Linked DNA regions of Stegostoma tigrinum. The protein of the gene in region 3 interacts with the protein of the main gene of each other region in a pairwise test. Links are inferred from orthologs where the notes say so. Each region holds a gene or a part of one and is shown on either strand. Other genes may lie near its edges.

Region 1 (7,618 bases), on a different chromosome or scaffold from region 3:
GCCAACTAAATTAATCTAGTCCCATTTGCCGGCATATGGCCCACATCCCTCTAAACTTTTCCTATTCATGTATCCTCCCAGATGCCTTTTAAATGTTGCAATTGTACCAACCTCCACCACTTCCTCTAGTAGCTTATTCCATACACACACCACCCCCTGCATGAAGTTGTCCCTTAGGTCCCTTTTAAATTTTTCCTCTCTCACCTTAAACCTATGCCCCTGTAGTTTTGGACTTCCCTACTCCTGGGAAAAAGGCCATGGTTATTCACCCTATCCACACCCATAATGATGTTCTAACCCCTTACCCTCAGCCTCCAGAACAACAACCCCAGCCTAATCAGCCTCTCTCCATAGCCTAAAACCTCCAATCCCGGCAACATCTTTCCTATGGGATAGAGACCAGAACTAAATGCAGTATTCCAAAAGTGGCCTAAAATCAATGTCCTGTATAGCCAAAAGAGAAGTGATCTTATCGAAACATATATGATTCCTTGACAGAATAAATTGCTGAGGAAATGAGAATTTCCCATGGGATAGCCTAGGAGCAGCAGGCACATTTTCAGAATAAAGGGGTGGCAATTTAAGACGGCGATGAGAAGGAATTTCTGAGCGGGTTGAGTGCATGGAATGCCTTGCCTTAGAGAGGTGTGGAGGCACAGTCCTTGTGAATATTTAGGCAGAGATGGATACATCCTCGAGAATGAGGGGAGTCGACAGTTATGGGGAAAGTAGACGTGAGGGATGTCGGACCAGCCATGCAGCTTTCTCTCAGGGCTGAATGGCCGACTCCTGTTCCTGAAATAAGAACAGAAATTGACAGAGGAACTCTGCAGGTCTGGCAGCACCTATGGAAAGCAGAATTATTGCTTCTAGTCCAGTCACCCTTAAGGATGGACAGAAACTGGGAAAAGACAATACTCAGGCTGATGAAGGGTTGGGAAGAGGGTGAATGAGTGGATACAGAGTCCAGAGAGAAAGAAAATTAGGCCTCTCCATAGGTTGTTAATAAGCCAGAGGAGGAGTAAAGCTGATGACTGAGATAATAAGTTGGTGAATATAGGTCAGCAGTGCAGAAATCAACTCCTGTCAAAACAGCGCCTGGGCTGTGGGGGATGGGGAAGGTCCTGGAACGAGCTGCTTAGGCCCTAAAACGATTAAGCTTGATATGCAGTCCTGAAAGATCTTCAAGCAACAGATCAGATGCTGCTCCTTCAGCTTGCACTAAGCCTCCCCAGCAACGTCGACACAGGAGACGTCTTCAGAGATAGAAGAAGGGTCTAGGCCCGAAATGTCAGCTTTCCTGCTCCTATGATGCTGCTTGGCCTGGTGTATTCTTCCAGCTCTACACCTCGTTATCACAGAAATATTGCCGTGGGAAACACAGTGGCTACTGAAAGCCAACTTATAGGCAAACAGTGCCTCAGGGTTTACTTGTAGAGTCATAAACTCATACAACACAGAAACAGATCCTTCAGCCCAAGCCGATCATTACACCAAACTAAACTAGACCCCACCTGGCTCTGCTTGGCCCACATCCTCCAAACATTTCTTATTCATGTACCTATCTAAATGACTTTTAAATGTTGTAACAATGCCTGCATTCACCATAAACCATTGTGTCAAAATTTTCCCCCTTGTCTTTTTAAACTCTTTCTCTTCTCACCTTAAAAATATGCCCACAGTTCTGAAATCCCCTATCCTAACGAAAAGACACCTGTCGTCATTCACCTTACCTGTCCCCCCAATGAGTTCACAAATCTATATAAATAAGGTAACTTCTCAACCTCCTATGCTCTAGTCAAAAAAGAAGCCTAAGCCTATCCAGCCTACTTTATAACAACACCCCCCACACAGCTGTTCCTGGCAACGTCTTGGTAAATCCTTTCTGGGCCCTCTCCAGCTTACTAATGCTGTTCACATAACAGGGTGACCAGAGCTAGACACAGTACTCTAGAAAAGGCCTCACCAACATCCTGTAGAATCTCGACATAATGTCCCAACTCCTAAACTCAAAGATCTGAGCAACAAAGGCAAGCATGCTAAATACCTTCTTAACCATCCTATCTGTACCTTCTGTTCCCTTTTCCTACGGATATAGCTACAAGCAGGGGGATGAGGGCAGGTTTTTGAGGGAACAATACAGCATAGAGGTATACAGCACAGACACAGACTCTTTGGTCCAACTCATCCAAGCCGACCAGATATCTTATATGAGTCTCACTCCATTTGCCAGTATTTGGCCCATATCCCTCTAAACCCTTCCTATTCACATACCCATCCAGGTGCCTTTGAAATGTTGTAATCGTACCAGCCTCCACCACTTCCACTGGCAGCTCATTCCATACATGCACCACCCTCTGCATGAAAAAGTTTCCCCTTAGATCCCTTTTACATCTTTCCCCTCTCACCGGTGACCTATGCCCTCTCATTCTGGACTCCCCTACCCTGGGGAAAAGACCTTGGTTGTTCACTCTATCAGCACCCCTTATGATTTTTAAAAACCTTTATAAGGGCACCCCTCAGCCTCTGATGCTCCAGAGAAAATAGGCCGTGCCTATTCAGCCTCTCTCTACAGATCAAACCCTGGCAACATCCGTGCAAATCTTTTTTGAACCCTTTCTAGTTTCACAACATCCTTCCTATAGGAGGGAAACCAGAATTGTGCGCAATAGTCAGCAGAGTTTCAAGGCTGAGAAAGATAGGTCTTCGATCAGGGTGCAGGGGCAAAGGGGAAAGGGCAGTAATGTGGACATGAGGAGTGTCCAGCTATAATCCTACTGATTGGTGGAGCAGACTCAAGGAGGCAAAGGGCCAACTCTTGCTCCTCTGCCTTATGGTCTTCTTCACAACTGGACTCTTGAGACTCCAAACCTTAACTCGACGGTGCTGCCAGGCTTGCTGAGCTTCCCCAGCAACCTCTGTTTCTGTCTCAGACCGTACAGCATCCGCAAGTCTTAGTTCTGTGGAAGTCTGGTGGACAGAGCTGCAAATGGGCAAGTTGTTGTTGTAGTAACTGTGCGCACTCACGCAAACTCGACAGGGGATCGGGGCGTGCGCGGGAGGATTGAACGACAGTTGCTGGTGCCAATAGACAGCGCGGAGGTCGAAGGGTCCAACCAATCGGAGCGGCCAAGGGCGTGGCTACCGCGGCCGCCATCACAGTTGGTTGTGAAGGATGAAGAGGCGGCGGCGGCGAAAAACCTTAGTTGCAACCGGTATCTAGTCGAGTGGAGCTCTGCCTCTATTTACCTGAAGATACGCTCCCTTCCCTGGCTCTGCGCTGTGAAGCGTACCCAAGAATCCATAATGCTCACAAAAAGATAGATAGAGATCTACTTTTATGTTTTGTTTCGGGGCCGCCTCAGCTGCGCGGGGTATAAAATATGGCCGCCAGTGGTGGCGGCTCTCAGTCACGTGCCATTGAATCGGCCAATCAGGCGCTACCTCTCCCCCTGACGTCAAGGGGCCACGCCCTCTTACCAGTATCACGTGACTTCTCACCGAAGTGCCATTCAGCCCATCAAGTCTGAGGAGCGCTTACGTTCCACCACGTGGCTTATCCGTTTGATCATAAGGAACAGAAGTTGGTTGCTCAGCCCCTTCAATGGGCTTGTGGCTTATTCCACTTTGCTGCCCTCTTCCCCCTTGAAGGAGCCAGTGGTGAAAACAAAAATTGCTGGAAATCACAACAGGTCAGGTAGCATCCGTGGAGAGGGAGCAAGCTAACGTTTCGAGTCTAGATGACTCTTCACCAGAGCTGGCTCAGTGGTGTACACACTTGATTATTTAAACACAGATTTGATTAGGGTTCTGGGCACAGTGGTTAGCACTTCTGCCTCGCAGTGCCGGGGGCCTGGGTTCTGTTCCACCCTCAGGCAACTGTCTGTGTGGAGTTTGCACATTCTCCCTGTGTCTGCGTGGGTTTTCTCCGGGTGCTCCGGTTTCCTCCCACAGTCCAAAGATGTGCATGCTAGGTGGCTTCGCTGTGCTCAATTGCCCGTAGAGTTCAGGAATGTATAGATTAGTTGGGTTGTAGGGGAATGGCTTTGGATGGGTGTTCTGAGGGTTGGTGTGGACTTGTTGGGCCAAAGGGCCTGTTTTCACATTGTAGGAATTCTGTGATCTGTGACCTAATTTTGAATCCCGCTGTGGCAAATGGTAGAGATTGAATTCAATGAAAATCTGTAATTAGGAGTCCCATGGTGATCATGAAGGGATTGACTGAATGTGCTTTAGGGAAGGAAACAGGTCTTTGCCTATTCTCGGCAACATGTGACTCCAAAACCACAGCAATGTGATTGACTCTTAACTGCCCTCTGGGCAATTAGGGATGGAGAATAATTACTGGCCTTGCCAGCAATGCCTGCATCCCACAAATGAAATTTAAAAACCCTTGATTTCCCCTACTGACCAAGAATGCATCTATCTCAGCCTTAAACATATAGAAGAACGCTGGTCCCTCCCCAAGATCTCTGTGGCAAGGAGTTCCAGAAACACTTAACCACCTGAGAAAAGAAATTCCTCCTCTTCTTAGTTTTAATTTGGTACAACTTTATTCTGAGACTATGCTGTCTGGTCCTAGACTCTCCCATGAGACCAAACATTCAGCGTTTACCTTATCAAATCCTTCAGGAATCCTGTATGTTTCAATGAGATTTGATTTGATTTGGTTTGGTTTATTATTGTCACATACTGAGATACAGTGAAAAACATTGTTTTGTGTGCTAAGGTCAGGATAATAGAACAGAATGCGGAGTATAGTGTTATAGTTGCAGAGAAGGATCAACTCTAATATTAGAGAGGTCCATTATGAAAACAGCAGGAAAGAAGCTGTTCTTGAACGTACTGGTATGTGTTATCAAACTTTTGTACCTTCTATTCAATGGAAGAGAATATGACTGGGGTGAGAGGGTCTTTGATTATGTTGGATGTTTCCACGAGGTAATGGGAAGTATAGATGGAATCAATGGGCTAGGCACACCTTTGGACTGTGGGAGGAAACCGGAGCACCCGGAGAAAACCCACGCAGACACGGGGAGAATGTGCAAACTCCACACAGACAGTTGCCCGAGGGTGGAACAGAACCCAGGCCCCCGGCACTGCGAGGCAGAAGTGCTAACCACTGTGCCCAGAACCCTAATCAAATCTGTGTTTAAATAATCAAGTGTGTACACCACTGAGCCAGCTCTGGTGAAGAGTCTTCTAGACTCGAAACGTTAGCTTGCTCCCTCTCCACGGATGCTACCTGACCTGCTGTGATTTCCAGCAATTTTTGTTTTCACCACTGGCTCCTTCAAGGGGGAAGAGGGCAGCAAAGTGGAATAAGCCACAAGCCCATTGTTGGAATTATGGTGTTGAAGGCAGAGCTTACTGACAATTAATAGAAGCCTGATGTAAGTGTCTTTGTAATCCAGATGTTCCAAAGATGGGTGGAGGGCCAGAGAGATGGCATTTGCCTTGGACCTGTAGTGACAGCAGGCGAATTGTAGTGGATCTGGGCAATCTGGGAGGCTAGAGTTGATGTGTGTCATGACTCACCTCTCAAAGCACTTGATAACGATGGATGTCAGAAACGCTGGGTAGTAATCATTAAGGCACGTTGCCTGATTTTCATTCGGCCCTGGTGGGAGTAGGAGAGCTTAAAGATGTCTGCAAATACTCCTGCCAGGATTTAAGTGCACGGCCGGGGCCTCCATCTGGGCGAGATACTTTCTGTGGACGGCAGTGACTGTGAATACGGGTGCCCCAAGGCTGTCTGGGCAGGAGCCATCATTTCATGGACCTACTGCTCAAACCGAGTCTATAATGCAAAGAACTCATTGGGTAGGGATCTGTTGTTGTCAGCGATCCTATTCGGCTTTGCTTTGTAGCCCGTTATGTTAGGTAAGCATTGCTGTAGTCGATGTGTGTGTGTCGTTATTCTGGCACTCAAGTCCAGTATTGTCTCTTGGCATCTCTGATGGTTTTGTGACGGTCATACCCTGATTTTCTGTGTAGGCCAGGGTCACTCAGCTTGAATGCCTCAGATCTGGACTTCAGTGAGGGCTGGATCTTCCGGTTCATCCACGGTTTCTGTTTGGGGAACGCTCGGATTGACTTCTTTGGCACTCAGTGCTTTACACACTTCCTGATGAAATCTGTGATGGTCAGTGGCATTTCCATTTAGTTTGGCTGCTGACTTCCTGAATGTGTAGCCAGTCCACTGACACCTAGCGGTCACGCAGGAGCTCATCTGTTACCTCAGACCAGCACTATCTGACTTTGTGGCAGTGTATATTTCATCGAGTGTGCTCTTTGTGTCTGCACGAAGTGGGATGTAAAATGCTGTCAGGGCAATAAGGCAGGCAGTTGGGGCAGTACTTCACCGTTAGATATTCGAGGGCCGTGGAGTAGTAACTCATCAGGGTCGTTGCGTCTGAACACCGAGAGGGTGTTGATCAGGAGGCGGACCTTTTGCCTTACCCAAGGACCCTGCGAATCAGATTGAGAAATCCTCAGGTTGTAAGAGTGAAGCAAGAGTGGGGCATGTCCCTTTAAAACGGAGCACGCGGCAGACTGTCAATTCCCTTTGGTAGGTGAGTCCGGCTTTAAGTTCATTCGGTTTGTTTTCAGTGGTGTAGACATTAGCCAGGAGTGTGTCAGGTAGGGGCCGCTTGAAGCCGAATAAAAACCTGCGGATGCTGAAAATCAGAAACGAAAACTGCACTGTTTCTGTGGGCCAGTGCATCTCCCATGTTTCCTGGGTAAGGAGCTGCTTCTGGTCGAGTTGGTGTGGATTGTTTGTTGTTTGGAATCTGATTTGGTCCTGGGCACTGGTGGCTGCTTCAGGCACTCGGGGAGGGGAGGGGGGTGCATCTTGTTCTGGGTTTGGTTCGGCCTTGGTGTTGGGTCTCCATGAGGTTGGGTCGGGTGTCGAGTCCACGTTGGTCCACTCGACAGAGTCACCAATCAACGTCCAGGTCGAATTGTCAAGAAATCGGTAAGTGGATGGTCACTTTGTTGTAATGGTTGCGGTTCCAGAATCTGCATTCGGGCCCCGTTGGTGCTTCATGACATCCTGGTCTTCATCAGGTCAGATTCAGTCGGGCCATTGGTTGTTTTCGGAGGTCAAAAGGTTGCCAGACCTGTAAGTAGATTTAAGAGAACGTAGAACGTTACAGTGCAGTACAGGCCCTTCGGCCCTCGATGTTGCGAGTCTTGGCGAGTCTACTACTGTTGCAGACATTGCTAGTAATCTGGCAGAATTACAGTGGAGATTTGAAAGAGTAGAACAATTCTAAAAGATGCGAGGAGATGATCTGCTGAGGTCAGCTTGCAAAGAGTTGCCATGCTCCAGTGCCATCCCCTCTATTTCTTCTAAACTCCGATGAGCAGAGTTCCCAACCAGTTTAGCCTTTGCTCATAAGACAATCCCTCCATATTGGGGATCATTATACTGAACCTTCTCTGAACTGAGTCCAATGAAATAATATCTTTTCTTATATAAAGGGACCAAAACTGCTCATAGTACTCCAAGATATGGTCTCATCAGTAGTTTGTCCAGTTGCAGTAAGATTTCCCTACTCTTATACTCCAACTCCCTTGAAATAAGGGCCAACATTCCTTTCGCTTTCCTGAT
Region 2 (7,581 bases), on a different chromosome or scaffold from region 3:
CAGTGCCATCCACAGTTAGATTGTTAATTATGTGAGTCTGCCTCAGTTTTGAAATTTTCATCCACATGTTAATATCCTCCGTGTCCTTGGCCCGATCTCTGTTACTGTGTCTACGTAGGAACATAAGAATATGGGACCAGGAACAGGCCATTCAGCCCTTCAAACCTGTTCCACTATTCAGTGGTCTTCAGCTGCTACTGCCAGACCCCGTTATTACTTTCACAGGGAGTTGGCACGGTATTGGTTACTGTAACATCCAGATGCCCTGCCAATTTGATAGCCGTAGGACATTAGATACACCTGGACTGCGAATTGATGATTTAGTTAACAGTCCTTGCTGTGCCCTTTCATTGTTTTTCATGCATGCATCATTCAAAATGTCTGCTTGGTTTTCCCCTTTTTAGGAAATTAGTCCTGACTGCAGCTGCTGAGAGTATCTTAAACTGCTGCCAGACTCTGCATTTTCCATTAATTCTGAGTGTTCCATGTTCAATAGGCTGACCCCATTCTCACTTAACATCCAATCACATGTGCACTCTATTCCAAAAGAGCACCAGGAATCAACACCCTTCCCAAGTATCCTCAAGAATATTTGACCCTCAATAGCATCACCAATACAGGTTGACTAGCTGCTGTCACACTTGCAGGATCTTGCTGTGTGGTTCCGCATTCCCTGCGTTAGTTCACCATCTACTTGATTGTCTGGACAAACTAAGGGACAGCCTGAAATCATAAAAAGATATGCAAGTCAGCCTTCATTTCTTTACAGCAGGGGTTACTGGATAGTGACCAGGAGTAGGAACGCCAGGCAATTTTTTTTTAACCCAGGGAATGCAACCCAGGGACAAGAACAAAGTTGCTGAAAAAGCTCAGCACGTCTGGCAGCATCTGTGAAGGAAAAAAAACAGAGTAAGCATTTTACATCCGGTGACACTTCCTCAGAACTGGAACACAGGGACTGAGATCAGTAAATTGGGATTAAATTGGGAATACATGGAAAGGGAGGATTTGCTGAAGACCTGAAGCAAGTAGTTTAGATGTATATCCCCACACTTCACCTTTGGTAAGGAAAACTAGACAGTTCCTGTGGTTTTTCCAATGAATATACATAATGACTCACTGCCATCCGTGGATCTGGTTAACACTTTTTAAGCTCAGAGTACCTGCTCTAACACATTCTGTCAAACACACCCTACTGCTGAAATCTGACAGTCAGAGAAATTGAACTGTTAGTGTGTTTTCTTTCAGTGTGATGCAATCCATAGTGTGTGAGTTGTTTCTTGCACTGGCTGTGGTTGCAAGCTAGAATTTATGGCAATGATGTCATTTTGATGGGACGCTAAACTGATGGCCACATCTTTACTCTCATGTGGATTAAAACAGCACCATTTTATAACAGCATCATCTTCAATATTTATCCCTCAATCACATTCATTATGAGTAGGTTATCAGATTATAATCTGATTATAATCACGCCTCTGTTTCTCTGAGCTTGGATGCTGCATTTCCTCAATGACAGCAATGATGGGTCTGGGTGGGATGTGCTGAGAGTCGGTGTGGACCTTTTGGGCCAAAGGGTCTGTAGGGAGTCCCATACTGTAGGGAGTCTAAATCCAAGTGCTTGTCCTCTCCTTTGTACAGCCCGTTGTATCTCAGCAGGTGTTGCTATTATACCCAACTTTGATGTATCTGGCAGTCACGTGCTTTGTTTGACACTATAATTGACTCCCGGTTAAGAAATTTCTGACGATACTCCTTCCTATGGTCTCTGTCATTTTTTGAGAATATTCCTGTATTGAACTCAGAAGAGGAAGGGACTGTTTGTTTTTGATCCCTGCATGGACTTGGTGGCTTAGAGGAAGCTACACTTCCAGTAGAGGAAGAATAATAAGGTGTGTGGCATGGCCAACACTCCTGCAGGGTTCTATGATTCTATATAGCTAGCATTTTATAACTGTAATCATGAACTTTTAGTCAAACTCTTAGATATATTTGCAAAAATCTGGGAAGAGGTTGTTCTTCTGAAATGCCATCACTGTTTCACATTTTAAGAATCATAAATTAGTCTGTGGGAAGTTTAGAGGTACATTCCTTGTGACCATTGTGGAGAAGATTGTCACACGAGTCCTGCAGAATGACCTCTTACCTCACAGCAAAGACATTCTTCCAGAGATGGGCTGTGGTTTCTGACCATCTAGTGGAACCATAGGTCTGATCTTTGTCATTGAGTAAATTCAAGAAAAGTGTCTAAAATGAAGCAAACAGTGCTACACGGCTATAAATGATCTATCAAAGGTCTTTGACTCCACCAGCTGCCAAGCCCCTATGGAAAGGCTTCTGAAGACATGAATGTTCAGAGAAGAATTATTACTCTTCGGTGATTTTTGCATGAAAGTACAACAGTAACTGTCCTTTGCATTGGATTGATGCTGAAGTTTTTTTCGTTTCCAGTCAGACATCAAATACTGCTATGCTAATGTGTTAATTCTAATCACTATCTCCCCCAGATAGAGCTGGATGAACACAGCAGGCCAAGCAGCACCAGAGGAGCAGGAAGGCTGACGGTTCGGGCCTAGACCCTTCTTCAGAAAACCCATTCCCTCCAGCCTGGTGATGGAAATCATTTCTGACCAGTGTTTGCTGGGATCATAGCTGACTTCTTGAATTAATGAGAAACTTTTCAACAACAACTGGCTGTGTGTTAAGTCTAAGGTGACCCTCCAGCACATCCATGGCCTACAACATGCCAATGAGTACACAATGTGGCCTACTCTGTAAAGAGCATTCACGCCACCCTCATCCTCTTCAACTCTGTCACAATATGATTGGTCTCTTACTCAACCTGAGCAAGATTAAAATCTTTCATCATCACTCTCCTGCACAAGAACCTATATCTCCAACCTCTGTTCTGAAAGGGAGATTTTAGAAATCATTGAACACTACATATCTGAGTACCTGCCTTTGGTAGAACATTGCTGCCATAATTAAACTTCAGCACCGTATCAACTGTGCCAGTGTAGCTTTCCAGATATTGTGCATCAGGTCTTCAGCAAAACCCATCCCTATACAAAGACAAAGGCTTTAGCCAACAATACTGTTGTCACAATCACTGTTGCCAAATGGCAGTGGGACAAAGGCATCCCATCAAAGACACTACCAGGTGCTGGAGAATTTTCCAACTGTTGAGTCTCTGCAAGATTCTCAGAGTCAAGTGAGAAGTCAGGCATTCCTCACTGAAGCCAATTCTTTTCTGATGTAGGGTCTAGGCCCGAAACATCAGCTTTTGTGCTCCTAAGATGCTGCTTGGCCTGCTGTGTTCATCCAGCCCCACACTTTGTTATCTCCATCAGCATTGTCATCTGGACACTCCTCCATGTGTCAAATAATCCATCACAATGCAGATTCTCTTCTCACAATTTAAAGATGAGACTCAATCTCAAGGACAAAGAAGATATTCAAAGAACACAGCAGCACAGTGGTTCAGTGGTTAGCAGTGCTGTCTCAGAGCACCAGGGACTCAGGTTCAATTCCAACCTCAGGCGACTGTGTGGAGTTTACACGTTCTGTGTCTGTGTGGGTTTCTGCTGAGTGCTCCGATTTCCTCCCACTGTTTAAGATTGTGCAGGTTAGGTGGATTGGCCATGTTAAATTACCCATATTGTCCAGAGATGTGCAGGCTGGGATTAGGCTAGGGTAGGAGGGTGAGTCTGGGTGGGAAGCTCTTTGGAGAGTTGGTGTTGACTTGTTGGGCTGAATGGCCTGTTTCCACACTGTGTAGGGATTCTATGGATACTCTGAAGACCAGGTTGGAATAGGACAAATTGACATTGATGAATGAGAGGTTCTTTCCATAAAAGTCTGCACCTTGTGCCAGCTCCTGAAAAAAAACTGCAACCCAAATTCTGACAGCATTAACCACCTGCAGTGACCCAACAAAACAGGTGTGAAATAGACCGAGCCCTGGTTTGAGAACCCCACCTTCTCCAGGGCTGCTTGTGGTGAAAGAGCTGTGGCTCAGTGAATGGCCTGCTGAGATCCAAAAAGCCAGACAGCTGACAGGTGCCATCTTTGTCTAAAGAAGCTGATCATTGACCAGTTCTGTGAGCTGATCAATGGTTGCATTTCTTATTGATCGTTGAACTGATTTGTGAGCTGATCAATGACTGGAATTTTTATTGATTATTGACTGGTTTTCTCAGGTTGTTTATTGATCCGGTTTATTACTGATATTCCGGGACTGATTATTAACTGAGTTTGTGAGCTGATCATTGTCTGGGCTCCTAATTAATTACTCGCAGTGTTTCTTATTGGTTTGAAAACCGAAAGAGCTGCGGATGCTGTAAATCAGAATCAAAAACAGAAAAGCTCAGCAGGTCTGGTAACATCCGTGGGGAGATATTAGAGTTTACACCTCCAGTGGAGTAACCCTTCCTCAGAAAGACTTGAGCTTTTCCAGTGATTACTGTTACAATTTCTGATGTTTCCTCTCGGGGTGACTATTGGTCGGGATTGTCCTCCGGGCACCAGGTGGCGGTGTTTGTGGATCCCCGCAATGAGCACAGGCCTCGGCGCAGGCTCACAGCGGCTTGGCCGGTCCCTGTCTCCCCAGGGACCCAAGGCCGGGAATAACCCGCCGCTCGGGTTGATCTCAGCGCAGTTTTAAGCCGGATCATTCCTTCCGTTGAGGCCATTTGTCCCAACGCCCCCGAGTCAGCCCCACAGTAGGTGCCCCCAAACTCAGTCCCTCGAAAGATAAAGGGGCGGGGGGGATGAGGGGAGGAGAGAGGGTACGGGGTGGGAGGAAGGGGGGGTAGGGGTGGGGGGGGAGAGAACGGGGGGGGGTAGGGGTGGGGGGGGAGAGAACGGGGGGGGGTAGGGGTGGGGGGGGAGAGAACGGGGGGGGGTAGGGGTGGGGGGGGAGAGAACGGGGGGGGGTAGGGGTGGGGGGGGAGAGAACGGGGGGGGGTAGGGGTGGGGGGGGAGAGAACGGGGGGGGAGAGAACGGGGGGGGGTAGGGGTGGGGGGGGAGAGAACGGGGGGGGTAGGGGTGGGGGGGGAGAGAACGGGGGGGGTAGGGGTGGGGGGGGAGAGAACGGGGGGGGGGTAGGGGTGGGGGGGGAGAGAACGGGGGGGGGGTAGGGGTGGGGGGGGAGAGAACGGGGGGGGGTAGGGGGGGGAGAGAACGGGGGGGGGTAGGGGGGGGAGAGAACGGGGGGGGGGTAGGGGGGGGAGAGAACGGGGGGGGGGGTAGGGGTGGGGGGGGGGTAGGGGGGGGGAGAGAACGGGGGGGGGGTAGGGGGGGGAGAGAACGGGGGGGGGTAGGGGTGGGGGGGGGGTAGGGGGGGGAGAGAACGGGGGGGGGGTAGGGGTGGGGGGGGGGGAGAGAACGGGGGGGTGGTAGGGGTGGGGGGGGGAGAGAACGGGGGGGTGGTAGGGGTGGGGGGGGGGAGAGAACGGGGGGGTGGTAGGGGTGGGGGGGGGGGTGGTAGGGGTGGGGGGGGGAGAGAACGGGGGGGTGGTAGGGGTGGGGGGGGAGAGAACGGGGGGGGTGGTAGGGGTGGGGGGGGAGAGAACGGGGGGGGTAGGGGTGGGGGGGGGAGAGAACGGGGGGGTGGTAGGGGTGGGGGGGGGAGAGAACGGGGGGGGTGGTAGGGGTGGGGGGGGAGAGAACGGGGGGGGTAGGGGTGGGGGGGGGAGAGAATGGGGGGGGGAGAGAGAACGGGGGGGTAGGGGTGGGGGGGGGAGAGAATGGGGGGGGGAGAGAACGGGGGGGAGGGGGAGAGAGAACGGGGGGGGAGGGGGGGAGAGAACGGGGGGGGAGGGGGGGAGAGAACGGGGGGGGGAGGGGGGGAGAGAACGGGGGGGGGAGAACGGGGGGGGGGGAGAACGGGGGGGGGGGGGGAGAGAACGGGGGGGGAAGGGGGGGGGAGAACGGGGGGGGAAGGGGGGGGGAGAACGGGGGGGGGAGGGGAACGGGGGGGTAGGGGTGGGGGGGGGAGAGAACGGGGGGGGTAGGGGTGGGGGGGGAGAGAACGGGGGGGGTAGGGGTGGGGGGGGAGAGAACGGGGGGGTAGGGGTGGGGGGGGAGAGAACGGGGGGGGTAGGGGTGGGGGGGGGGTAGGGGTGGGGGGGGAGAGAACGGGGGGGGTAGGGGTGGGGGGGGAGAGAACGGGGGGGGGTAGGGGTGGGGGGGGAGAGAACGGGGGGGTAGGGGTGGGGGGTGGGGGGGGAGAGAACGGGGGGGGTAGGGGTGGGGGGTGGGGGGGGAGAGAACGGGGGGGGTAGGGGTGGGGGGGGAGAGAACGGGGGGGGTAGGGGTGGGGGGGGAGAGAACGGGGGGGTGAGAACGGGGGGGGTAGGGGTGGGGGGGGAGAACGGGGGGGGAGAACGGGGGGGGTAGGGGTGGGGGGGGGAGAACGGGGGGGGTAGGGGTGGGGGGGGAGAACGGGGGGGTAGGGGTGGGGGGGGGAGAGAACGGGGGGTAGGGGTGGGGGGGTAGGGGGAGAGAACGGGGGGGGTAGGGGTGGGGGGGGGAGATAACTGGGGGGAGAGAACGGGGGGGGGGAGAGAACGGGGGGGGGGGAGAGAACGGGGGGGGAGAGAACGGGGGGGGGAGAGAACGGGGGGGTAGGGGTGGGGGGGGTAGGGGGAGAGAATGGGGGGGTAGGGGGAGAGAATGGGGGGGTAGGGGTGGGGGGGTAGGGGGAGAGAATGGGGGGGTAGGGGTGGGGGGGGTAGGGGGAGAGAATGGGGGGGTAGGGGGAGAGAACGGGGGGGTAGGGGTGGGGGGGGAGATAACTGGGGGGAGAGAATGGGGGGGGAGAGAATGGGGGGGGAGAGAACGGGGGGGTAGGGGTGGGGGGGGAGATAACTGGGGGGAGAGAATGGGGGGGGGAGAGAACGGGGGGGGAGAGAACGGGGGGGAGAGAATGGGGGGGTAGGGGTGGGGGGGGTAGGGGGAGAGAACGGGGGGGTAGGGGTGGGGGGGGAGATAACTGGGGGGAGAGAATGGGGGGGGAGAGAACGGGGGGGTAGGGGTGGGGGGGCAGAGAACGGGGGGGCAGGGGTTGGGGGGGGAGAGAACGGGTGGGCAGGGGTTGGGGGGGGAGAGAACGGGGGGGCAGGGGTGGGGGGGGAGAGAACGGGGGGCAGGGGTGGGGGGGAGAGAACGGGGGGGTAGGGGTAGGGGGGGAGAGAACGGGGGGGAGAGAATGGGGGGGGAGAGAACGGGGGGGGAGAGAACGGGGGGGTAGGGGTAGGGGTGGGGGGGGGAGAGAACGGGGGGGTAGGGGTAGGGGTGGGGGGGTAGGGGTAGGGGTGGGGGGGGGGAGAGAACGGGGGGGTAGGGGTAGGGGTGGGGGGGTAGGGGTAGGGGTGGGGGGGGAGAGAACGGGGGGGGTAGGGGTGGGGGGGGGAGAGAACGGGGGGTAGGGGGGGAGGGGTGGGGGGGGAGAGAACGGGGGGGGGTAGGGGGGGGTAGGGGTGTGGGGGGAGAGAACGGGGGGGTAGGGGTGGGGGGGAGAGAAAGGGGGGGTAGGGGTGGGGGGGAAGAGAAAGGGGGGGTAGGGGTGGGGGGGGAGA
Region 3 (7,026 bases):
TCTCAGGGACAGGGACAGCTTCCTCTACACTGTCCCCCGCCTCCTCCGTCAGACACTCCAAGGGACACGGACAGCTCCCTCTACACGATTTCCCCCCGCCCCCGTCAAACACTCCCAGGGACAGGGACAGCTCCCTCTACACCGTCGCCCCCGCATCAAACACTCCCAGGGACAGCAACAGCTCCCTCTACACTGTCCCCACGCCCCCCCCCGCCCCCCACTTCGTCAAACACTCCCAAGGACACGGACAGCTCGCTCTACACCGTCCCCCCCGTCAAACACTCCTAGGTACACAGACAGCACGGGGTTAGATACAGAGTAAAGCTTCCTCTACACTGTCTCCCCATCAAACTCTCCCAGGGACAGGGACAGCACAGGGTTAGATACATTCTGAAGATGCCTCTACACTGTCCCCTATCAAACACTCCCGGGACAGGGACAGCACAGGGTTAGATTCGGAGTATCTGCACTTTGTGTTAAGATCAATGCGGCACTCACTTTGGAGCCTTTTCCATCTGGTTTCTCAGCTTCCACTTTTGCTTGGGGATGTGGAGTAGGTTTCGTTTTGTCAAAATCATCAAGGGCACCTTACAGAAGATATACAGCGTTAGAGATAACAGGAACAGCAGCATTACCAATGGTATCTTACCCCTGCCTCGCCTTGTTCTCTGTCCACACTCCCACTCGTAACCGCATTCTCTTCTACTCCGAGCCCGATATTACTCCTACCTGCACTGTCACACATTCCAGCCACCAAACAGTGCCTCTCACCTCCTAGCTGTATCTGCCGTCTCCATGTATAATCAAACATTGCTGACCTATCCTCGAAATGACCATTCTTCCATTGACAAAATCTCAAAGCATCAAACCTAACTAATTAAAACACATCTCAATGGAGAGACTCAGCAGGTCTGGAAGCATCTGCGAAGACAAACATTTCGCAAAATGTTCTGAACTCTGCTTTTCTCCTCTTTGAGTTTCTGCAGTTATTTCTGCTTTCATTTCAGGTTTCGAGCAACCAAAGCTCTTTATCTTATCTTACCCAGCTAGACTCCCATCGATCCCATCAAACCGAGCCCCCACCGACTAACCCATTGGCCACTCCTCACCGACCAACACCCCAATGGCTGTTCCACACGGCCCACTGACCAATCCTCACTGAACAACAGCCCACTGACTAACACCTACAGGCCATTTCCCTTGACCAAGACCCTATCAACTCATCTTATTCACCAATACACAGTGAGCCAATCCTCATTGATGAACACTACATTCAACAATCCCATTGACCAATCCTCTAGCAAACACCAAGTGGCCAATTTTCATTGGCCAATCCTCAACAACAAACCCAACAATAACCAATCACATTGAGCAACTTGCCAGCTACCAATGCTTATTGAACAACACTCCACTGGCTACTCCGATTGACCAAGACTCCACTGACCAAAGCCCCAGTGGACAAATGTCACTGACTGGGACCACATTGGACTAATCCCTACTGACCAATTCTAACCGGCGAAAACCACATTGACCAAGTAGCCAGTGAACCAATCCACACAGAGTAATCTGCAATAAGCGACACGCTACTACACAAACACTCAGTGATCATTTCTCACTGATCAGCACCAAGCAGCCAAGAGCCCTTGGCCAAACCTCACTGACCAATCTGACTGACCAACTTGCCAATGAACCAATCCCTATTGGTCAATTCTCACAGACTAAGATCCCATTGAACCAATCCGTAATAGTCAGCGATCACGGACTAAGGTCCCAATGAACTCATCCCTATTGGTCAGTGCTCTTGGAATCAGATCCCAATGAACCAATCCCTATTGATCAGTGCCTACGGACTAAGGTCCCAATTAACCAATCCCTATTGTTCAGCGCTCACGGACTAAGGTGCGAATGAACCAATCCCTATTGGTCAGCGCTCACGGACTAAGATCCCAATGAACCAATCCCTATTGGTCAGTGCTCACGGACAAAGGTCCCAATGAACCAATCCCTACTGGTCAGCGCTCACGGACTAAGATCCCAATGAACCAATCTCTATTGGTCAGGGCTCACGGACTAAGGTCCTAATGAGCCAATCCCTATTGGTCAGTGCTCACTGACTAAGATCCCAATGAACCAATCCCGATTGGTCAGCGCTGGACGAAGATCCCAATGAACAAATCTCTATTGGTCAGGGCTCACGGACTAAAGGTCCCAATGAAACAATCCCTATTGGTCAGGGCTCACTGACAAAGTTCCCAGTGAACCAATCCCTATTGGTCAGTGCTCACTGACTAAGATCCCAATGAACCAATCTCTAATGGTTAGTGCTCACGGACTACGGTCCCAATGAACCAATCTCTAATGGTCAGTGCTCACGGACTAAGGTCCCAATGAAACAATCCCTATTGGTCAGGGCTCACGGACTCAGGTCCCAATGAACCAATCCCTATTGATCAGCGCCTACGGACTAAGGTCCCAATTAACCAATCCCTATTGTTCAGCGCTCACGGACTAAGGTGCGAATGAACCAATCCCTATTGATCAGCGCCTACGGACTAAGGTCCCAATTAACCAATCCCTATTGGTCAGGGCTCATGGACTAAGATCCCAATGAACCAAACCTCTACTGGTCAGCGCCTACGGACTAAGGTCCCAATGAACCAATCCCTATTGGTCAGCGCCTACAGACTAAGGTCCCAACGAACCAATCCCTATTGGTCAGGGCTCACTGACTATGGTCCCAATGAACCAATCCCTATTGGTCAGGGCTCACTGACTACCAGCCATTAACCAAAACCCTCTCGGCCATTCTAGCCTTTGACCTCTACCCTCTGACCGTTGCGGCGGGTTGAGACTTATTCAATGTTTGCAGAGTCTCCTCCTCAGTGTCAGCATCATCCTCTCACTTTCCAACAACTCCTGGAGCTCCTCATCCTCCTCTCCACCTCCACCTCCTCCTCCTGCCGCCGCCATCTTCCCCGTCACCAGCCACTGACGTCACCGCGCCGGCACCGCTTCCGTTCCAGCCGCGGCCTTCACTTCCGCCGGGTCCCACACCGCCCAGCGGGCGCCGCCATCTTGTCCCGGAAGAGCGTTGAAGAGTGTCAATACCGGACATCCGGTTGCCTCTTAAAGGCACACGCACCAAGCGCCACTCACCCGGAAGTGGGCCCTTTACCATTCAGAGAGTCATGTTTTGTGCATTTCTTCATCGTGTTTATGTTAAAATTTATTTAGTGCTTAAACTTCATGAATAGAATCAATATGTAGGTCATCGACATAGATTCCAAAGTAGTTCTAGATTCACCTACAGGATTCTTTTGTGCATTTCCATCATTGAGATAAATATATGATCGGCTAAAAGAGTACTCTCTGTACAATGTTGTGTTTTGCATCCTCCCTTCAGCAATGAGCATAAAGTAAATAAAATAGCCCTAAGAATAAGCCTTAGAAACTATCAAAGATTTTCATCCATTAGAATAAGAAACAGGAGTAGACCATTCAGCCCCTTCAGCCTGCTCCACCATTCAATAGGATGATGGCTGTTCCAACATTCTTCACGTCCACTTTCCTGACCTTTCACTGTAATCGTCCATTCCTGGACTGATCAAGAATATATCTACCTCAACCTGAAATATACACAAGAACTCTCCCCCCGCCCCACCCCACACACACCTTTCTATGGCATGGAGTTCCAAAGACACACAACCCTCTGAGACAGGAAATCCCTCCTCCTCTCCGTCTTAAATTGGTGACCCTTTATTCTGAGACTGTGCCCTCTGGCCCGAGATTCCCAACAGGGGAAACATCCTCGCTCAGCATTTACCCTGTCAAACCCCGTAAGAATCCTGTATATTACTAATCGGGATATATCACAAGAACATCAATTCAAGCAGAATACATGCATGTGCACTTGACACAAAAAGTAGCAGCTCAGAGGACAGTGTAGAATTAGCTCTAAGTTCCAAAATGATTTAGATAGGTCAGTGAAGTGGGCAGAAATGTGGCAGATGGAATTCAACTCTGATAAGTGTGGAGTAATGCATTGACATGATAAATGGGATTATGCTGAAATGGGTGGATGAAGTGAGAGATCTTGGCATTGTCAGGGATGCACATGACTGAGCAGCACAAAATGGCCAATGGCTGCCCAGGGCTAATGCAGCAAAATATGACTGACAGTAGTTAGAGAGCTCAGGAAAATATTCGCTTAATGTAGCTGCAGAAGTTAGAACAACAGCAGCTCTGTGGAATTGCTATAGAATATGCAGCTACAGTTGTTTACACATAAGACATAGATAAGAATATTTCACACTACTATTAATTTGTGAATCTCTCTTTAATTATTTCATCAACCTGTTACAAAACTAATAGTAGGTTTTATTCGGGATCCTTCGAATAATCATAGATATTGATTCCAACGTAGTTATAGATTCACCTACATAGTAAAAAAAATCACAGAGAGCTGGAGAGGAGGTAAATCATGAGAGCAAACCAGTCTCTGACAGTAAAAGCAACTCCCATATTATGACAGCGAGAAATGAATCATCGGTTACAGAAATGAGCAGAGATTGGAATGTGGGTTAAATGAACACTTTGTTAGACAGCCCTGTTTGAAGACAGAGAGTGGGGTGGGGGGATTTCACTTAAACATGCTAAGATAGAAACTGCTCATTAGCTAAAGAATTCTAACATTAGCGGTAATCACATAACTTTGTTCAAATTGAAACTATAACTCTTTGGTTCTTCCCGTAATGATGATTGTAAGGAATTTGAAAGGTCCTGGCATGATAGGTAAGTATCCAATTATTTGGCAGTTACCAGACTGTAGTTGGCAAACGATTGGGAGAGAATAGACCTGAATACAGTGAAAAGCCTGAAGAAGGGAAATAAGACAGTGTTATGGACCCGAGCAGACTCTCTCAAAATATTTTAAAATATCCTACACCCTAACATTTTCTGAATTAAAGAGTAAAGGTGAAGTGCCGAGATGGGACGCGCCTGGTCAAATTACTCGATATTAAGCAAAACACAATTGATTTAAACACTACGGTTAAAATACAAACAAAAGAAAGAGGAATTTAGAGTAAATTAACCTTTGGAAAGCTTAACTGAATAACAGGTACAGTAGCCGATACTCATTCACTGCTCCCATTTAGTAACACCCAATTAACACACCCCATGGCAAAAAGGCAAATTTAGGCACAGATTTTCACATGCAGTTCTCCAATCCAGGAGGCTAAAAAAAAGAGAAAATTCAGAGAGAACAGCAGTCAGAAAACATTCACTAAAGCTCTTATTAGACCCTGAAGGCTTCTAATAATAGCAAAAGCAGGAAAATCTGGATCAGTGACAACTGGCCAAACCCATTCAGCCTCCATTCTTCCAACTTGTAAAACAAAACACAAGGCCTTCCAAGCTGTTTACCTACAGTATCCAGTTCAGCATCTCTGCCTCACAATGACTCTTCCAAATAAAAGGGCCAAGGTAACTTTTAGAAGTGACAGCATTGTCACAAGATCCTGGGAGACATTCTGAAACTGTGGAGGATGAGGAGTTGACCCGAAATCCATCTCTGGCTGTACAGTCATACAATTAGCTTATTTGGAAACGCACGTCATTAATTAATAGTATGATATGTTTGCAATTGCGAAGACAGGATGAAACAAATGTATAAAAATGTATAGAGGTGTAGAGCTTGATGAACACAACAGGTCAAGCAGCGTCTTCGGAGCAGGAAAACTGACATTTCAGGCCTAGACCCTGAGGGGTCTAGGCCTGAAACGTCAGTTTTCCTGCTCCGAAGACGCTGCTTGGCCTGTTGTGTTCATCCAGCTGTACACTTTGTTATCTCGGATTCTCCAGCATCTGTAGTTCCCATTATCTCTTATAAAAATGCATGTTTTCCTTTGTTTGGTGAAGTGCTCTGTTACATCTTGTATTTTCCAATGAGGATCTGACTTGTGTGTAACTGCCAGGTAATCTTTATTGCGGCTTTATTTTCAGTATTGCTTCTTATTCCAGTGCCACAAGGCCCATAAAAAATTCACAATGTCATAAATTACACTGTTTAAGCTCAAACCCTGCCCCCATCCCGGTTTGGTTACTATTGGTCAGTGGTACTAGGTTATCCCTTTGTAATCGGCTCTCAGGTACAGCAGGTTATGCAGTTAGCCTCAGCAATTTACCTACTGTGGTGTACACCGTGGAACTGTTGATGGTCCATAACCTGAAGGAAGTGCTGCCTCATTCACCCATGTGAACATCTTTCCAACTGACCCAATCACGTCACTGAAAGACTGGTATATGACCCACCTGTGGTGCAAGATAATGTCTGGCTTAGAAGGGGTGGACGCTGGGAAGTTGTTTCCGTTAGGCGGGGAGACTAGGACCCGTGGGCACAGCCTTAAAATTAGAGGGGGTAAATTTAAAACGGAAATAAGGAGATATTTCTTCAGCCAGAGAGTGGTGGGCCTGTGGAATTCATTGCCGCAGAGTGCAGTGGAGGCCGGGACGTTAAATGCCTTCAAGGCGGAGATTGATAAATTCTTGATCTCACAAGGAATCAAGGGCTACAGGGAGAGTGCAGGGAAGTGGAGTTGAAATGCCCATTATCCATGATTTAAATGGTGGAGTGGGCTTGATGGGCCGAATGGCCTTACTTCCACTCCTATGTCTTATGGTCTTATGGATGGTGTTTCCCAGACTCTCTTATCTCCCTGTAAGGTGATGGGGGCTGCTTTTACTAAGTCAGACTGCGTCTAGATCTCTAAAAGCTTTTAGTTTTTTTTTCATCAGTGCATCTGTAACTACTTCAGAGCCTCTATCTATGATTATCGGAAGGATCTTAATTAAAACCTACTCTTACTATTCTAACAGATTGACAAAATAATTCGAGAGGGATCGTGTGAAATGTTCTCTTTTGCATAAATGACTGCAGCTGCAGATTCCATCTCAGTTTGGTAACCTTGAGTCTACAGACATGCTATTGTTCTACTTGTGAAGACTACATTAGGCAAATAGTTTCCC
Region 4 (7,006 bases), on a different chromosome or scaffold from region 3:
ATCAAGGGGCAGAGTGGATATCGTGTGGTGCGGAATGTATGGGGGTGTATACGAAGGGTACATCTAGCTCCTGATGACAAACTCCGCACAGAGCTAACAAGCAACCAAAAAGGTATAGGAAGACATTGAAGGGGATACAGCAAATCCTCTATATCCACAAAATCACAAATTCACCTACACAATAAAATAAGCAACAGCAAGAGTCAAAAATTTTTAAACAAACTTTGCTTTGAGACTGAGGCAATGGCCTCGTAATATTATCACTGGATTGTTAATCCAGGGACCCAGGTAATGTTCTGTGGATCTGCGTTCGAAGCCTGCCATAGCAGATGGTGGAATTTAAACTTGATTGAAAAAAAATGTGAAATTAAGAGTCCATTGACAATTGGTGCAAAAACCCATCTTGTTCACTAACATTCTTTAGGGATGGAACTGCCACCCATTCCTGGTGTGGCCGACATGTGACTCCAGGCCCACAGCAGTTTGGTTGACACTCAACTGTCCCCTGGGGCAATTAGGGATGGGCAATAAATGCTGGTCTAGCCAGCAACACCCACACTCCATTTAAAAAAAGGGCTCACAGGTTTCATTATTGGGGCGGGCTTAGGAAGAACAGTTCTCATGGATACGGGGGAAATGACTGCACATCAAGTAGAAAGGGAGTATAGACAACCCTGGTAATTATAGACCAGTGAGCCTTACCTCAGTTGTTGGTAAAGTGTTGGAAAACGTTATAAGGAATAGGATTTATAATCATCTAGAAAAGAATAAATTGATTAGGGATAGTCAGCACGGTTTTGTGAAAGGAAGGTCGTGCCTCATAAACCTTATTCAGTTCTTTGAGAAGGTGACCAAACAGGTAGATGAGAGTAAACCGGTTGAGGTGGTGTATATGGATTTCAGCAAGGCGTTCGATAAGGTTCCCCACAATAGGCTATTGTACAAAATGAGGAGGAATGAGATTGTGGGAGATATAGCAGTTTGGATTGGAAATTGGCTTGCTGAAAGAAGACAGAGGGTGGTAGTTGATGGGAAATGTTCATCCTGGAGACCAGTTACCAGTGGTGTACAGCAAGGGTCGGTGTTGGGTCCACTGCTGTTTGTCATTTTTATAAATGACCTGGATGGGGGCATAGAAGGATGGGTTAGTAAATTTGCAGACGACACTAAGGTCGGTGGAGTTGTGGATAGTGACGAAGGATGCTGTGGGTTGCAGAGAGACATAGATAAGCTGCAGAGCTGGGCTGAGAGGTGGCAAATGGAGTTTAATGCGGACAAGTGTGAGGTGATGCACTTTGGTAGGAGTAACCGGAAGGCAAAGATTCTTGGTAGTGTAGATGAGCAGAGAGATCTCGGTGTCCACGTACACAGATCCTTGAAAGTTGCCACCCAGGTTGACAGGGCTGTTAAGAAGGCATACAGTGTTTTAGCTTTTATTAATAGAGGGATCGAGTTCCGGAACCAAGAGGTTATGCTGCAGCTGTACAAAACTCTGGTGCGGCCGCACTTGGAGTATTGTGTACAGTTCTGGTCACCGCATTATAAGAAGGATGTGGAAGCTTTGGAAAGGGTGCAGAGGAGATGCCTGGTATGTTGCCTGGTATGGAGGGAAGGTCTGATGAGGAAAGGCTGAGGGACTTCAGGCTGTTTTCATTAGGGAGAAAGAGGTTGGGAGGTGACTTAATTGAAACATATAAAATAATCAGAGGGTTAGATAGGGTGGATAGGGAGAGCCTTTTTCCTAGGATGGTGACGGCGAGCACGAGGGGGCATAGCTTTAAAATTGAGGAGTGAAAGATATAGGACAGATGTCAGAGGTAGTTTCTTTACTCAGAATAGTACGGGAATGGAACGCTTTGCCTGCAACGGTAGTAAATTCGCCAACTTTAGGTACATTTAAGTCGTCATTGGACAAGCACATGGACGTACATGGAATAGTGTAGGTTAGATGGGCTTGAGATCGGTATGACTGGTCGGCACAACAGAGGGCCGAAGGGCCTGTACTGTGCTGTATTGTTCTATGAAATAGAATTCCCCGAAATAGCTCAAAAGCAGCCATTTCATACAGAATTCAAGCATACATTAACATTTTAACACTTGTACAAAAACTGTTTTGCAGGAAATCAGAGATGGTTTAAACATGTGCTAAATGTTACTGGTTATTTTTGACTGTTAATGGCTATTTTAATGAGATTGGAGTGATCTTGCATAATTCAGAAGGTATTAGTCTTGTTACTTTCAAGGTTAGAATTTTAAAGTTAGAAAAAGGCATCTTATGTTTGTTCAATAAAAGTCTGAGTTCCCAACAGTTTTGATTGTCTGTGGTTCTATTTACTATCATGCATTCATTCATTCGGCACTGTAGGGAATCTAATCTAATCTAGATGGGTTTAAAATCGGTAATGACAGGTCGGCACAACATTGAGGGCCGAAGGGCCTGTACTGTGCTGTAATGTTCTATGTTCTAAATGCCGATGCTGTACATCAGGGTCGATAACTGAAGTTGCGGGAAAGGCTCAGCAGGTCTTTTGCGAAGAACAAAAATCAGAGTTAACGCTTCGGGTTGGATGACCCTTCCTCAGAATTGTATGAGGGACGTGTTCAGTGAGTATATGCAGGAGGGAGGCGTATGCAGAAGATTTTATACTGGGGTAGACAAAGGAGTATTGGTGATATGAGGGGTATTCGACGGAGGAAGGTGGTATATGAAACGACTGATAGTTGGCTGTGGGACGTATATGAAGGGCATTCAGAGCTGTGTTTATGGGAGAGGGGAGTTACTCCTGGTTACATGGAGGATATATGTGACCCGCTCCTCACCGAGCTCTCAGGACAGGTATTGATGGGGAGGTATATGAAGGGTATTTCTGACCGGCAATGATGTAGGACACGCTCCGCACCGAGCCCTCCAGCTGAGCGGCTGCCCCCGGATTCCTAATAACGTACTCCCGGTACCGGAACAACAAACGCCTCAACACATCCACCATGACAGCACTATCCCCCGATCGCGCGCGGAACCACTTCCAGGGAATACTGGCTTCAAATCCGGGGCATACCGGCACCGCTCCACACTGATTGGCTGATTCGCTGCCACCCCGCACACCAGTACCCTATTGGTCAGGACCAGAGCAAGGAGGCGGGGCATCGATGATCTGAAAATTGGCGCTGAATTCAGATGCGACCCAGTGTGAGACATCCAGTGTCTGATCACGAACCCCGCAATGGTTCCAGTGTCTGACCACTAACCGCCCCCACCCCCCGCCATGGTTCCAGTGTCTGACCACCACCCCCCCGCCATGGTCCAGTCTGTGACTCAGTGTCAGGCACTTCCCTCCAGTGTGACCCTCCCCAATGCCCCCCTCACAGTGATCCAGTGTACCCTCCCCAGTGAATCCCTCAGAGTGATCCAGTGTGATGCCCCCCCCCCACATCCATTGTGACAACCCCAGCGATTCAGTGTCTGACCGCCACCTCCACGACTAGAGTGCGATTGCTCAACCCTGCCATGGTCCAGTCTGTGATCCAATGTGCAACAGCTCCCCCCGCCCCCCGCCATCTTCCCCAAGTCATCCAGTGTGTGACACCACTCTCCACCAATGGCCCAGTAAGTGTGTGTGTAGCCCCCTGTGTACCAGCATGTCCACCCATGCTCCAGTGTGTGACCTCTTGCAATCCAATATATGATTAGATTCCCTACAGTGTGGAAACAGGCCCTTCGGCCCAACAAGTCCACACCACCCCTTGGAGCATCCCACCCAGACCCAGACCCAACCCCATCCCCATCCCCCTATAACACACACACCTCTGAACACTACGGACAATTTAGCATGGCCGAACCACCTAGCCCACACGTCTTTGGACTGTGGGAGGAAACTGGAGCACCTGGAGGAAACCCACGCAGATACAGGGAGAATGTGCAAACTCCACACAGACAGTTACCCGAGGCTGGAATCGAACCCGGGTCCCTGGTGCTATGCAACTGCAGTGCTAACCACTGAGCCACCGTGACCCAGTGTATGGCCTCGGCGATCCAGTATGCGATTCCCAATGGTCCAGTGTATGACTCCACTGATCCTGTGTGTGAACCTACGTCAGTGCTCTAACGATCCATTAAGAATTTGTAAAGGAGCAATGTGTGCTCCATGATGATCAAGAGGTACCCATTAATGATCCAGTTATCCAATGTGATCCCGAATTAACTCAGTCAGAGATAGTAAGAACAGTCGATGCTGGAGTCAGAGATGACACAGTGTGGAGCTGGAGGAACACAGCAGGCCAGGTAGCATCAGAGGAGCAGGAAATTTGATGATTTGGGTAAGGTCCCGCATTCAGAAATGGGGGAGGGGGAAGGGAACTGTTTGTGATTTGGCATGGAACCTCTGGTGAAATCCACTTCCTACATTCTGAGAGAATGTAACATATGTGGAATACTGATCCAACAGTAGTTAGAAGGTAAAATTCAATTCTGTCCAGCGATAGAGAAACACAGTGCTTTTTGCAAGGCTTTTAGTAGGTCATTCTAGATAGTTCCTGGGACATTTAAGAAGAACAGAACTAAGAGCAGACTCCATGTTTTAAGTGCAGAATTCTAGCTGTTCTGCAGGGAAGACGTTGAGACGAGTTGACTATCATAATCAAGGTCCATAAGACATCCTGGGGAGCTGAGAAAGTGGGAAGGTTATTGGCTCTGTTTTTGGAGGAAGCTGTGAGGTGCTGGGAAGAAGCCTGTCAACATGAATACTTTGTTGCAGCTCAGAACATAGGAGTTGAAAATCCCATAAACAGCATTTGCTTTATACCCTGAGAAAGACTGGAGTTTGCAGTGGGGGTTTGGTGGTTGGGGAATAACACACAGGTGTGTTTCTAGCTTATTGAAGAGTAGTCTTATGCTTGTAAGTGACGATCGGAGTTGACTCCAGCAAGGTATAGTGTAAGGAAAGCCAGAGACTATTCCTTTGAGGACAATTACAACAAGGGTAGCAGTGGAAATAATAACACAGTTTACTAGTTAGAGGCCACCAGTTGATATATAGTCTGATCAGGGTTCGGGGATTATGTCAACGTTTTCCAGGAAATCATGAGCAGTTTGGGAATAGAACAATTAAAGTCAATTGCGTATCTTCTGCAAACAAAGTTTGAACTGTTTTTTTGTCAGAGGATTTGAATCTGTGCAACTTGTGGAGTAATTGAGTTACACAGCACGGACATAGACTGTTCACTTCAATTCATTCATGCTGACCAGACATCCCAAATTACTCTAGTCCCATTTGCCAGCATTTTTGGCCCAAATCCCACTAAACCCTTCCTATTCATGTACCCATCCAGATACCTTTTAAAAGTTGTAATTGTACCAGCCTCCACCATTTCCTTGGTAGCTCAATCCATACCCTCCACATGAAAACGTTGCCTTTTAAATCTTTCCCCGCTTATCTTTAACCTATGCCCTCTAATTTTGAACTCACCTACCCTTGGAAAAGACTTTTGCTATTCATCCTATCCATACCCCTCATGATTTTATAAACCTCTATAAGGTCACCCCTCAGCCTCCGACTCTCTAGGGAAATTAGCCCCAGCCTATTCAGCCCCTCCCTATAGCTCAAACTGTCCAAACCTGGCAACATCCAAATCTTTTCTGAACCCTTTCAAGTTTAATACCATCTTTCCTAGAGCAGGGAGACCAGAACTGAAGGCATTATTCCAAAAGTGGCCTAACCAATGTCCTGTACAGCTGCAACGTGACCTTCCAACTCCTACACTCAATGCACTGACCAATAAAGGCAACTGTACTAAATGCTTTTTCACTACCCTATCGACCTGAGACTCCACTTTCAACAAGCTATGAACCTGCACCCCAAGGTCTCTTTGTTCAGCAACACTGTCCAGGACCTTACAATTAAGTGTCTAAGTCCTGCCCTAACCAATATGCAAAACTTCACATTTATCTAAATTAAACTCCATCCGCCACTCCTTGATCCATCTGATCAGGTCCTGCTCTACTCTGAGATAATCTCCTTCACTGTCCACTACACCACAGTGCCATCTGCAAACTTACTAACCATTCCTCCTATATTCACATCCAAATTGTTGATATAAATGATGAAAAGCAGTGAACCCAACGCTGCTCCTTGCAGCACACTGCTGGTCACAGACAGCCAGACAGAAAAACAACCCTCCACCACCTCCCTCTTTCTCTTACCTTCAAGCCAATTTACAGGATGGAGATTTGGTTGCTTTCTAGTTGTCCACCCATTACCAACTCATTGAAAGTTATAAGAATTAAGTGAATATTTCTTAAAACTACTAGAGGCTATTTACATTGACTGATGTCATCAGAAATCAAGCAAGATACAATCCCAAGTACCTGCGATGCTATGTATCATTGAAACTGCTTAAATGAACTGGACAGTTACATCTCTTTAATTTTCCTTTTAATTTATCCCTAAACTGTGTCTGTCTGTCTATATGTGTTGGGGCTAACAATCAAAGAAGATTGAGTTTAAATCATGGACATATTTAAATTATCTTGTTCAACTTTGCTCAGCTAAAGCTACTATATTAATAATAAACTGTTACCTCTTTTGTTTAAGCAATGAACTTGGTCTCTGGCTTTGGTTATTCAACAAACCTGGTTGGGAACCATTGGAGTCAGGTTGTAGACTTGCCTGTCGAGCTGGTGTGTTTGGTTGCAGACGTTTTGCTAGGTAACATCGTAAGTGTGCCTCCGGTAAAGTGTTGGTATTCTGTCCCTCTTGTTATTTATATGCCTCGGTTTGCTGGAATGGTTGGCTTTACTTCAGGTTCTGTTTTTCAGTAGTTTGTATATTGGGGCCAGTTCAATGTGTTTGTTGATGGAGTTCTGCTTGGAATACCAGGCTTCCAGGAATTCCCTGGTATGTCTCTGTTCAGCTCGTGCTATTATGGATGTGTTGTCCCAGTTGAATTTGTGTCCTTCTTTGTCCTTGTGTATTGAGACCAGTGAGAATTGGTCATGCCTCTTTGTGGCTGG

Evidence for each region.
Region 1: the proteins of pex19 (region 3) and pex11b interact in binary tests that used the Homo sapiens proteins (3 or more experiments, as listed by UniProt). The link is inferred for Stegostoma tigrinum from reciprocal best matches to the Homo sapiens genes PEX19 and PEX11B.
Region 2: the proteins of pex19 (region 3) and pex10 interact in a two-hybrid assay, tested with the Homo sapiens proteins (4 studies listed by BioGRID and IntAct, with this or other methods). The link is inferred for Stegostoma tigrinum from reciprocal best matches to the Homo sapiens genes PEX19 and PEX10.
Region 4: the proteins of pex19 (region 3) and pex16 interact in binary tests that used the Homo sapiens proteins (3 or more experiments, as listed by UniProt). The link is inferred for Stegostoma tigrinum from reciprocal best matches to the Homo sapiens genes PEX19 and PEX16.

Annotation. Positions count from the first base shown.
Region 1 is NC_081400.1:3,328,424-3,336,041, forward strand, and holds the start of pex11b (peroxisomal membrane protein 11B), read right to left. Parts: upstream 3,010-7,618; 5' UTR 2,946-3,009; coding exon 2,872-2,945; intron 1-2,871. UniProt on the Homo sapiens protein: Involved in peroxisomal proliferation. May regulate peroxisome division by recruiting the dynamin-related GTPase DNM1L to the peroxisomal membrane. Promotes membrane protrusion and elongation on the peroxisomal surface.
Region 2 is NC_081381.1:23,731,582-23,739,162, reverse strand, and holds the start of pex10 (peroxisome biogenesis factor 10), read left to right. Parts: upstream 1-4,570; 5' UTR 4,571-4,721; intron 4,722-7,581.
Region 3 is NC_081399.1:11,295,651-11,302,676, reverse strand, and holds the start of pex19 (peroxisomal biogenesis factor 19), read right to left. Parts: upstream 3,018-7,026; 5' UTR 2,971-3,017; coding exon 2,904-2,970; intron 588-2,903; coding exon 499-587; intron 1-498. UniProt on the Homo sapiens protein: Necessary for early peroxisomal biogenesis. Acts both as a cytosolic chaperone and as an import receptor for peroxisomal membrane proteins (PMPs).
Region 4 is NC_081370.1:12,839,670-12,846,675, forward strand, and holds the start of pex16 (peroxisomal biogenesis factor 16), read right to left. Parts: upstream 3,014-7,006; 5' UTR 2,988-3,013; coding exon 2,873-2,987; intron 1-2,872. UniProt on the Homo sapiens protein: Required for peroxisome membrane biogenesis. May play a role in early stages of peroxisome assembly. Can recruit other peroxisomal proteins, such as PEX3 and PMP34, to de novo peroxisomes derived from the endoplasmic reticulum (ER).